2 linked regions of the Arabidopsis thaliana genome follow. The protein of the gene in region 1 interacts with the protein of each later gene in a pairwise test. Each region holds a gene or a part of one and is shown on either strand. Other genes may lie near its edges.

Evidence for each region. Proteins that work in one complex are often made in the same cells at the same time.
Region 2: the proteins of AT1G06760 (region 1) and DME interact in a two-hybrid assay, tested with the Arabidopsis thaliana proteins (one study listed by BioGRID).

What each region holds. Positions count from the first base shown.
Region 1 is NC_003070.9:2,074,734-2,080,198, forward strand, and holds AT1G06760 (winged-helix DNA-binding transcription factor family protein), read right to left. Parts: upstream 3,035-5,465; 5' UTR 2,884-3,034; coding exon 2,683-2,883; intron 2,578-2,682; coding exon 1,954-2,577; 3' UTR 1,771-1,953; downstream 1-1,770. Other genes in the region: AT1G06750 (P-loop containing nucleoside triphosphate hydrolases superfamily protein), read left to right, coding at 1-210, 325-445, 535-857, 947-1,091, 1,351-1,617; DRIP1 (DREB2A-interacting protein 1), read right to left, coding at 4,489-4,668, 4,779-4,851, 4,984-5,034, 5,144-5,465. UniProt on the Arabidopsis thaliana protein: Histones H1 are necessary for the condensation of nucleosome chains into higher-order structures.
Region 2 is NC_003076.8:1,306,656-1,313,380, reverse strand, and holds the start of DME (HhH-GPD base excision DNA repair family protein), read right to left. Parts: upstream 4,268-6,725; 5' UTR 4,145-4,267; exon of another isoform or gene 3,762-4,144; 5' UTR 3,596-3,761; coding exon 3,025-3,595; exon of another isoform or gene 2,914-3,024; coding exon 793-2,913; intron 695-792; coding exon 350-694; intron 117-349; coding exon 26-116; intron 1-25. UniProt on the Arabidopsis thaliana protein: Transcriptional activator involved in gene imprinting. Catalyzes the release of 5-methylcytosine (5-meC) from DNA by a glycosylase/lyase mechanism.

The sequences.
Region 1 (5,465 bases):
TAAGAGGGTGACTAAGAACTTAAAAGTGGCAAGAGTGTTCAACACTTTGGTAGAGGAAATGAGAGCAATGGGGCTCGCGTCTGTGGATGACTCGCAGTGCACAGAAGTTATGGCACCAGTGGCTCACAAAGACAGAAGTCCAGTGCTACTCCTTATGGGTGGTGGGATGGGTGCAGGGAAAAGCACTGTGCTTAAGGACATACTCAAAGAGTAAATAAAGATCTCATTATATAATTATCACTTCTACTATACATATAGAGAAACGTATATATCTATGTAGCTGAAGCAAAGAAGCTAACCAAATGGTTTTCACTATGGAAGCAGAGCATTCTGGGCAGGAGCAGACTCTGTGGTGATTGAAGCTGATGCTTTCAAAGAGTCTGATGTCATTTACAGAGCCTTAAGCTCTCGTGGCCATGTCGATATGATCCAGACAGCTGAATTGGTAAGCCATCCACAAACATCTTCAAGAACCTGTCGGAGTCATGAAAATGTTGATTCTGAGGTTTGAAATTGTTTTGTGAGAATATATAGGTTCATCAGTCATCAACAGATGCAGCTTCATCCCTGCTAGTGACGGCTCTGAACGAAGGAAGGGATGTGATAATGGATGGGACACTCTCTTGGGTACCTTTTGTGGTGCAGACAATAACAATGGCGAGGAACGTACACCGACACCATTACAGAATGGGAGCTGGATACAAGGTTGGTGATGATGGAGTTATAACAGAGAACTATTGGGAACGAATTGGTGAAAGGCAACAGATTCAAGAGGATGGTCGTAGGAGAAAACCGTATAGAATAGAACTAGTTGGAGTTGTGTGCGATGCGTATTTAGCAGTTATAAGAGGCATTAGGTGAGTACAAAGCACCATCTTATCTTTCAATCTATCTTTCAAGTTTGTCTCTTATTAACTTAAAAGAGTGTTTTTGGCTGAGATTGTAGGAGAGCTATCATGTGCAGAAGAGCAGTTAGGGTGAGATCACAGCTGAGATCTCACAAACGGTTTGCGGAAGCATTTCCTACATATTGCAGCCTTGTCGACAATGCTAGGCTCTACTGCACTAACGCGCTGGAAGGCTCTCCAAAGGTTAGTTTTGAAATTGGAACCGATAAACTTATACTTTAACTCAATGCAACAAAGAACTTAACCGATTTGAACAAGAGAAATTTCAAACTCTCGACCAATGCCTAAGCCAAGATCCTAGACCAACTTAGAAAGCCCCAACTCACCCCTAGGCTAGTTATAGTTCTCCTGCACTAAGAGTTAACAAGAACATCTTATCAATGGTGCATAGATAATAGTAGATAAGAAAAATACTAATAGGTGAAGTGTGATTGTGAAACAGCTGATAGGTTGGAAAGAAAAGGAAAAGACATTGCTAGTAGATACAGAAGAGATAGATTGTTTGAAGCGAGTAGGAGGGTTAAACGAGAACGCAGGCTCCATTTACGAGCTCTATAGACAACCCAACCCTGCTTGTGAAGCAGGTTCAATCTGGAAAGACATTGTTCTTTCACCTTCAAGGTTTAGCATTCAACAGGAACTCAAATATTCCATTCAGAAAGTTGAAAAAAGATCTAAACAACATCTCATCAACAACACCAAAAGCTGAAAATGGTAAACATAGAAAACAAGGGCAGAGTTGACAAGGAAGAACAGAAACTTGTTCATTGTATAACTTCAATGTTGTAAAAGTTTGTTGATTGTATAATAACATCCATGTTTACTATAACTCAACAAGAACAGCACTAGCCTGACACAAATTAGCTGCAAAGAAACTCGAGTTTGCTTCATTGATGAAATCTATATATGATTTAAGGGGTAGTCCAAAGGAACTGTGAATAACAAGAACACTGAAAGAAGAAAAGCAAACAAAGTCGCATAAAGATGATTGAATTATACAAGTCTAAACTATCGTTAACCATTCTTCTACCTACAAACCCTAACTTCACTTCTTAACCCTAGAAGAAGCCCTCTTTGCTGGAGACTTAACCGTCTTTGGCTTCACAACCTTCTTAACCGGAGTCTTCTTCTTTGTGGCCACCGTAGCAACTTTCTTCGTGGCAGCAACAGCTTTCTTAGCCGGAGATGTAACCTTGGCCGTTTTGGCTGCCTTGGCTGGTCTAGCCTTAGCCTTGGGCTTCGCATCAACAGCTTTCCTCTTAGTTGCAGCAGCAGTGGCACGAGGAACGGGCTTAGCCTTAGCCTTCGCGGTCACTTTCTTAGCAGCAGCAGTCTTAGGTTTAACGGCGATTGTTTTCTTAGCCTTGGAAGCCGCAGCGACCTTTCTCTTCGCCTTGGTAACCGCCACAGTCGCCGGTTTCTTCTTCGCAGGAGCAGATTTCTCCGCTGCCGCCTTAGGGGATGATGCTTTAGCCGACGCCGATGGGAGTTTAAACGAGGCTTTGACCTTCACAAGCTTCCCAGAAGCAACGAGTCTCTTCAGATTGAGAAGCAACAGCTTTCTGAATGTTGGAGGAAGCTCCTTACGCTTCTCCTCGATGAACTTCTGAATCGCGTATTGGCTAGATCCAGTTCTCTCTTTCAACGTAACAATCGCATCCTTAATCATCTGAAATCGCATCAACAAAGAACACAAAAATCAATTTCTAAATTCCAAAATCAGAATCCGGCTTAATAAGAAACACGAATAAACGAAATCGAATCTCATTTTTACCTCTTCGTAAGTAGGATGAGATGAAACAGTTCTCTTCTTCGGAGCGGCAGCAACAGTCTTCTTCTCCTTCACTTCCTTAACATTCTTCGTCTTTCGTCCTTTCGCTGCAGGCTTCTTCTCAACGGCCGCATCCGTCACCGGCGCATCCGCAGCGGTGTTTCCTTCGATCGTAGCAGCGTTCTCTATTTCCACCTCTGACATCGTCTTCTGAACTTAAGATCGGAAAATTTGATTGCAAGAAAGCGTAAATGTAATTTCGAAAGTGATTATGAGGATTGTGAAGAGGATCATTGGAAACGTCCGATTTATATAGTTAGATGTGTATTAGACGGCAATTCATATCTGGCTTCTGATTGGTTAAAACAATGACTACGCGGATCGCTACTCTTTTCTCAGGTTTGAATATTAATCGTTGGATCAAATTTTATCGACGGCAGAGAAAGAAGGAGTGTAGATGGTGGGATGAGTAAGTTAGTGGATGTGGATTAGATGCTTTGGTCATATTTGTTGTGCTTTTAGACTCGATTCATTTGACCATAACTCGTGATATACTCGATGAAATTCGTTTTTGTTTTTTGCATTGTGTAGAAAATTCTGTGAGGGTTCGTTTGATTATCTAAACGTGAAAAATGGATTATTTTGTAATGAGATATTCGGTTATGAAGCAAGATATGTCAAAACTATTGTTTTTCTTGCTAGTATTACAGTATATTTGGTTTTTCGAATAATGCTAAAGAGAATTTCGATGAAAATTATGTTAATATGAAACTTGACTAATCAAGGAGTGAACCGAACCAATAAACGTGGGATTTCAATTACTTTTTGATCCAAAATCATTTGAATGAATACTACCTAAGATGACCATCCTCTAGAATATGTTGCACACTACTTGTTGATGTGTCATGTGTCTATGTTAAAAAGAGTCCGGATTATTCATAGATTGTGATTTACTAGTTTAAGTATGTAATCAACCAATTTTAATTGATATTAAAACACATGTATAACTTTCCTTTAGTTATGATGCATAGATTACGTTTCTTAAGAGCAACACATGTACAAGGTCATCCGAGAGGCAATCTAGTCTAGGTGCAATCTCTTCAATGATTTTTTTTTGTTTTCTTTTGGATATCGTTAAGCATCATGGCTATATGTAAAGCATGAATTAAAAAGAATCTGTTAAATTGCATACTCGTAACATTTTTTGAACATCATAACAATTTGTTATATAAATATGTTACTCATATTAAGCATGATGGTTGTCACCACATAGTGGTACTCACGATAACACAAAATAGTGATAATGAACTTCATTCGTCTTTTGTCAGATAAGTTTTATGTAGTTAATTTGGTAGTTTTCTACCTCCATATAGGTCATCACAGTTCTACTACATTCGTCATCCACAGTCAACACTTGAACAGTAATTCTTGAAAACCTTAGTTTCCATAGAAATGATGTAGTACCCAAATAAATGCATATAAATCAATCTAAAACATCTTAAACTACAACATTTGATTAGAAAGTGACAACAATGTTACATGCAAGTCCAGAGAGGACACATAGTAGAAGAAGAAGAAAGAAAAGGGAAACAAATTTTGTATTTTCTTGCACAGAAAAGCGACTCATGAGTGTATATTTCGTCTATAGAAAAAAATATTAATACTAATTTCACAACACATTCGACTGCTCCTGTAGTTCTAGTAATGTTCTCTCTTGTAATGCTTTGAGAGATTCCATAAACCGAAAAGAAAAGATTACCCTGTCTCCACAGAATCTTCTTCTGCAACAACATGAGTCTTTAAAGTCCTTTACATGTTGCACTCTGGTAGCTTCCGAGCATAGACAAGAACCATCGTAAAATCCTTTGCAGAAGAACCTACCAATGCAGCAAACCGTTGGTGGTTTGAACTTTTCTGGAGCCATAGATCCACTAAATTGTAAAGCGTCAGCGTTGGGATCACCGCTTCTCCCATACACTTTATCTCTATCTGAACATAAACCATAAGTATGTCCATTTTTTATCAACCAAACATATAAGTTCCATTATATTCAAACGTTCTATCCTTTCTCGTGCCATAGTGCATATAAAGACCCTTACCTCATTTTCACTCTCGAGATCTAGCTTCCTCATGAGGTACTTTTGGATGAAAGAAACTGTTGTATTTCCATCCCTATCACAGAATGAGACATTGGATTATCTTCCCCAACAAAAGAATTCCTCATAACAGAAAAATGAGGGACTATGTAAGATGCAGCGACAACACAGGATATATAAAACAAAGAATACCTAAACTGTAACCTACCTTATTCTCAAAAAATTTGCTGGAATTTGAGGTAAAGAAGTTCCTCCTTCCCTGTAACCAGTAAGCCCTTGTCAATATACCAAGAGAAGAGAAACAAAATGAAGAAAGAGAGAAAGATCATGAAAGGAAATAGTTTCAGATATGAGAGCAAAAATCTCACTGATCATTGGACGCCACAAGTGAGAACCAAACGGGACCATTTCTCCTCTCCTGTTTTGCACTTGACTCATCTGGTTGTGGCAAATTCCTTGAATCGCCTAAAGTGGTGGCAGACCTTTTGCGTTGAGTTGTACGCATTCTTTTAGGAGTAACAGTTTCTGATGTTGTAGGATCACCATTATTACTCTTGTCATCCTCACGTTTACATTTTCTCTTTTTATTCTTAGTTTTGGTTTTACTCCCTTGAAATTGATTGCGAGATACATTCGCGTGCTCAGATTTTGAACCTGACCCTTGAGAAGCAGAAGACTTCAAGGGCTTTG
Region 2 (6,725 bases), on another chromosome or scaffold:
CAATTTATTAAGGCAACTCATATACCTTGAAAGGTGATCCGAGACATTCTGTGTAAGGAAAACTCCAATGACCGAATCAACCACCGATCCCTTCCATGGCGAAAAACGTCTATCTCCTGTAAACGTTTAAGTTCAATTGGTCATCTATAGCAGTAAAAGAAATAATAGGCACATAAACCATTCAGCTGTCACCATAAATGCACACCTGTTCTTCACAAGATGCATTATGAATATTATTTGACATGGTTAACTAGTGAATTTTAAAATTTTGCAAACAAAACATCATTTTTGAGTATTCTACTAATTTGTGTGAATAAAAATGGAGTTGAGAAGAGAAGTGGATCTTCACCTTGTACCAGGTGCATGCGAGCGATGAAGGAATCAGCCCTTCCTCGGAAGACTCTTCTTTCTTCTTCCCACCACTTCTCTTTCTTTTTATCCTTCTCTTCATCCCCTTCTTTTTCATCTCCTTTCCCCATCAGTAAGTTCCATATGCGAGTTGTTTCATCGTCAATGTCAACTTTGGGTCTTGGTTTTCGCTTCTTGCTCTCATAGGGAACAAGTGCACCATCTCCTTTGTACAAGACCATTGCATTTTGCTCTTGTTCTCTTTCTTTGTCTCCTAGATACAGATTTTGCATCCTGTAAATTATTTCCGCAATAGAATCCTGACACAGAAGTTCTCCTGATGGACCTATACAACGCACCAACAGTGATAAGGAGCTGGTTTGGACACATCAGTTACTAAAATCTCAAAATTATATCACAGAGATTGTAGAATACATTAGTTACCTCTTGCTTTTCCTGAATCTTGTATGGACTTTCTCCCTTTTCCTTTAGGCTTGCTTCTTGATAAAGGTGTCTTTGGAGGAGTAGGTTGCCAAAGCTGGATCTCTGAGGCATGAGCAGGCGGAGGTACTGATTTTTTTCTACCTGCTCGACCCTTTTTTGCAGGCGTTTTTGGGACAATACATTTCTCCTTTTCTGCTGTCTTTTTAACTGGAGACGAGTTTCCTTTAGATGCACCTTTACTGATGCTGGCAGTATTTTTACCTTTTCTTGCCCCATCAGTTGGATCATCCTCGATTTCTATAACCTCAGGTGGCATGCCATGCAAATTTTCTTGGACTACTTTCTGGATTTTCGTTTTCTTTGCAGCATCTAAATATTCCACACACGTGCTGCTGTTATGTCTCTCCACATCTTGTGATTGAGCAATCTGTTGAGCTAAGTTTAGATCATGCTTTTCCGTCTGTCCCATTGCACGATGATACTGTCTCTTCGAGCCCCTGGCTTCCTCAAGTTTAGCCATAATTGGAGTTGGCAGAGAAGAGTTTTGAGGTAACGCTTTCTTGCACCCATTACCATTGGATATCTCATGAGAAAGTATGTACTTATTTCCTTGATGGATATCTTGCTGTAAAGAATCGTATGCAGGAGCCCTGCTTCTCTGGCATGTACCTGTAGTCCCATTCAAAATCCTGGAAACAGATTCCACATGTAGATATGTTGTAGGAACTTGTGACTGAGAATGAGGTCGAAGCCCAGGCGATGACATGCTGGTAGCTACCATCTGATTCAAGTGAGTAAAACCTTTTGGAGTTGCAGGTTGCTGGTCAATCAAAGGTACGCAAGGCTGCTGGCCTCTTATTAATGATCCAGGTTGCTGGTTTTTTATCAGTAGTCCATGTTGTTGCCCTCCGGTTGACATAACAAGTTGATGCATGTCTGTAGGTGATCCATATAGCTGATTTCCAGCAGGTAAACAAGTCTGGTGATTCAAAAATATAGGCCGCTTGTTTCCTTGGGGACCTCCTAGTTGCTGGTTTCCACTTACTAATGCAGGCCGTGGAGTTCCTATCAGATACATAGGTTGTTGATTACCCATGGCCAAGCAAGGCTGCTGGTTTCTTATGGTCATGCGAGGTTGCTGGTTACCAAATGGAAAGCCAATAAGTTGGTTTTTCATCTGAAGCCAAGCTTGTTGGTTTTCCATTGGGAACTGGGTGTTCTGGGTTGCCACTGGGAACTGGCATTGCTGGTTTCTAGTCAATAAATCAGGTTGTTGGTCTCTGGCCAGTTTCGCTCCTGTAGATAGTTTATCTGGCTGGTTTCCCATTGACACTTCAAGTGGCTGGTTCATAGCCCCCAATCCATTGGTCTTGTCTATTTGTGACACTGAATCCAGGAAACTACCATTAGTTCCACCAATGGCATCTCTGATCTCAGAAAACGAGTTTGCGCCACTACTGTTCTGGACAATTTCAGACTCAGAGTCACCTTGCCTCGCATCTCCAGGATTCTCCAAGTCAAAATTCAAAGCTTTTCTGCAACTTTTGAGTGTGACTTCAGGGCTTTTGTTGCTCATATCTCCAACATTGGCTGGCTTTTTAGTTGCTGATTCTTTCAAATTTTTCTTTTTGGCACTCCCGGTTTCTTTAGATTTCACTTTTTCCTGAGTTGCAGCTTTGCGTGGCTTCCTTTTAGGTTTGCCTTCCACGACCACTTTGGGAAGTTCTGCAGGTTTGCGTGGCTTTCTTTTAGGTTTGCCTTCCACGACCACCTTGGGCATGAACTTCCTTTTCCTTTTGGAGGGTTTCTGCTGAGGAGTTTTGTTAAGGTCGAACTCCAGAACATCTTGTCTGCTGCCATCATTTTGTTCAGTAGCTTCCGTCGCATTAACAGCAGACGAGTCCATAATGCTCTGCATACTTTTGTCAGATTTCGGCTCTGGGATTTCATGTCCAGTAGTTGTAACTATCTGTTCAAGGAATCCAGTCTTTTCACCTGTTCTGAACAGACTGGGCGTTGACGGTACATATTGAAACGAACTTTCACAGACTGACCCAACTGCTTCTCTTCTAATTGGTGAATTCAAATTGTAAAGAGGCTTGTTACACGCTGGAGGTCCATCTGTTCAAAACCATGACTTTCTTAAGATATTCTAATTCATGTTCTACTCTAAGTACTGCAAGAACGGAAGAAAGGGAAAAAAAAAAACTGAAAATAGATTTGATCACTCACATTGACGAACCTTGAATAAGCTATCCCCACCACTCAGCAAGCTTGTGAAGGAGAAGGGCATCTGATCAGGATTCAACAAGTCATCCAATTCAAACTCATTATAGCCAGCTTGAGAAGTGCCACTCTGGGTGAAAGGACCATTTACCATACCCACATCTGAAGTAAAATTTCCATTGACCGGCTCTACATTACCGGTGGTGTTTCTGATAACTGGTGCTAAAGGAGAAGTCACCTCACTCCTGCCCAAAAGATCTCTCTCACTATTACTCCAAGCTTGTGCATGTGATCCCGCTAAGCTATTGATCATCATACTTAAGTTGGTAACGCCCTGATGAGCACCATGATCAAAAACCCCATTATGATCCACACCAGTGTTGCAGAATCCCCTGTCTACAAATTCACCACCTGGAAACCCATTTAGATCCTGGTTTATCACTCTCTCATCTACCATCAGACTTGATCTAGGTTTTTTGGGTGTAAATGGAATCCAAGAACCCATGAACTCTTGTTGAGTTTGATTCTCCAAAGGAACTCGAAAATATCTATCCCCCGGATCAGCCCTCGAATTCATAACACACTTGATGAATCACTCCCCCTTCAAACCTTATCACTACCTCACCCCAAATAACACTCACCTAACTCTCCGAAAACTCTCTCCAAACACCAAAACAAAGCAACATGGACGAACACTCCTTTTTAATCTGACTTGGTTAGAGAAGGCGACATTAACTAAGAATCTGCACCATAAAATGCAATAAATGATTTTTTGTCAGATATTTTTCTCATCAACAAAACGAGAAACACATTGAATAGCGAAGAATTTTTTAGCTGGAAACGGTAAAAGAAGAGCGAATAAAGTAAGCAATGTTTATGGGGAAAGTGAAGATAAAAGCAAATCAGAGGTTTTTATTACGCAGAATCAAAATCAGGTGTTAATAGCTGAGATTTATGATCAGAAAACAGGAACATGTATTGATTAACATAAAAACCCAGTGATTCTTCTCGTGATCGGAAAATGTAACAGCTGGAAAATTTAGCAGAACAAATTCCAGATAAAAAAGGGAGAGAGAAAAAAAGGAAATAATATGTAAATAAACAGAAAATGGAGCTAAAAGCTCACCGATCTAAGCTTTCTGATTCTCAGGCGAGTCAATGCCGGAGAACACTGAGTCAGCTATGCCGTTAGAGATAGAGATAGAGAGAGAGTGTGGTGAGATGAAGAAGGAATAAAGTGAAATATCAGTTGGCGTTAGCAATATGGGCCTGAGGCCCAAATTATATTCACGAGGACGTTGTTGCTTAAGTGTATTTTGTTGTTAATTGTCATTAGTCCTATTAAAATGGTTTAGTTTGCAAGTTTTCAGATAAAGCAACAACGCTAAACCCAACTTTTGTTGGTTATAAGTTATAACTTATAAATGTTCATTAGAATCTTACTAAATTTAATGTTTTGGTCTTCTTCCTATATTTAGATTTTAAAGTATGTCAACACGATTTTTAAATGAAATTTAATGTTGCAAACTTGCTTCTTCATGCCAACATTTGACCGAATTACATAAAGGAAGTTCAATGCTAAAATCGTATTTTTGTAAAACGCTCATAATCACTATTTTCGCTAGAGTATCTAATAATTTCCATATATTCATGAAATTAATTTGAAATTTGACACAAAATTCTCGTATTTTTTTAACGTAAATAAAGGTATAACACCGAACTCGTATTTTACGACTATGTTCGTTTCTAATTGCACCAAACTGATAAAATTGTAGTCACCAATTAATTACTCCGTTAGTGTATTAAACTAATATTATTTGACCCATTTGGAATATAAACCCGACCCGAAAGTTAATGAAATTGTATAAACGACAAGTTTCCGCGTGGAAGCCATTAATGATTGTGACGGATCTCTTCCTACCCCCAATCAGTTTCAATTTAGTCCTTCATCTTTCGGGATAATCCTATTTTAAACCAATGAAAGGATTTCTGGTCCCATATAGTTTATTGGGTGCTGCTCCTTTATTTTTCTTGGTATTTTATTTGACTCCCATACATTTAGATTTATTCGCATTGACCCCCACAGCAAGAGACCATAAGTCACGTTACGAATCTTAAAAAAATTTCGTCTAAAGGTAGTCACGAAACATTATTATGAGATTCTTGCTATGTTTGAGAATTATATCCCTCGGAAGAAAATTCAGTTGACGATATATCAATAATCAATGTATTTTTGTTCTTAGTCAACATTGTAGTAATGAAAATACGATTTTTTAAAGTAATGTTTGTGACAATGAATAGCAAATTATATCATCATAATTACAGAAAATATACATATCTTTAAGGTTTTTCCTTGAAACAAGAAGAACTCTTGACATTATTATAGCTAACACGAGTCTGAAGAATTAATCTCAGTGAATTTATATTTTAAACAGTTACATATCTTTTGAGATTTTTGTACAAATGTTCATATACCAAAATAAAGAGATTAAGAATCTGTTGACTTATTCTTTCTTTTGATAATTATATCGGTTAACTTTTCTTACCATCGGTAAATTAATACTTTGATTGAGAATTTGAGATTAGATACAATTGGTCTACGTTTTGGAATCTAGTGACATATTTGGTGTATTAGGAGGTTTTTCAAATAAAGTGAGCGTTTCATAATCATGAGTATGTAGTTATCCCATACTCGTAAAATATTATGGCAAGAAGGAAAAAATAGCATCCTCCAACAAGTAACAATCCACTCAACACCTTTTTAGAAACTTCCATATAAATAATACTACATGTAGTATATATTGGAAATATCGCTTTCGCATTGACAAGTTCAACGTCAATCAAGCTAGTTAGGTCAACTTTTCCCTAACGTTTTTGTTAAGTTAAAACTATTTGATATGTTTATTTTGTTTTGGTTCTATATGGAAATTAAAGATAGATATTACAGAATTATGCATTATTAAATGTATTTTAATTGATAGATAAATGTATTTAATTTCGCAAAATTTAAAACTTTCGATATGAGTATATATTTTTAAAGGTACGTATGTACATCTACTATTTGTTTTTTTTTAACTACCAACCTATTTGAGTTTGTTAAAATTCCTAGTTTAAATGCATTATGGATGTTTTTTTGGGCTAATTGTTGAGTAAGGAGTTATCGTTTCTATATAACTTTCATATATATATATATATATATATATATATATATATATATATATTTTAAGGATTGTGAATGCAATACTTTTAAGTTTTAAATGTGTTACAATTTAGGATATTTGTCGTGATTAGAGATGGTCCTAAAAAATCTATGGACTTAATTAAAACCAAATATTATGCCCATTAACTAATTATTGATTTTTTGAAAGAAAAAGATTTGAAAACAAAAAGTCTACAAGGGAGAGAGAGTTGAACTCCCGGCTTTAATAAGCTAAAGGAAAGATTTTGTGATCCTAAGAAGACATTTTTGAGGTTTGCTCAATCATTTCTATTTTAAGATCAAAACTGTCATTGATTGTGATCACATGTATTGTTTAGTTATTAACTTGTTTTATATAAGTTCGACCTTTTGGATGGTAATCTCTCATCATATTAAAATACATTTTTTGTTATGAATATATATTCCATGAAAATGTAACATAAGAAACAAAAACAACATTATATCTTAATTTTTTTCCTTTCAAATTACATGAAATTTGAAAGTTTGA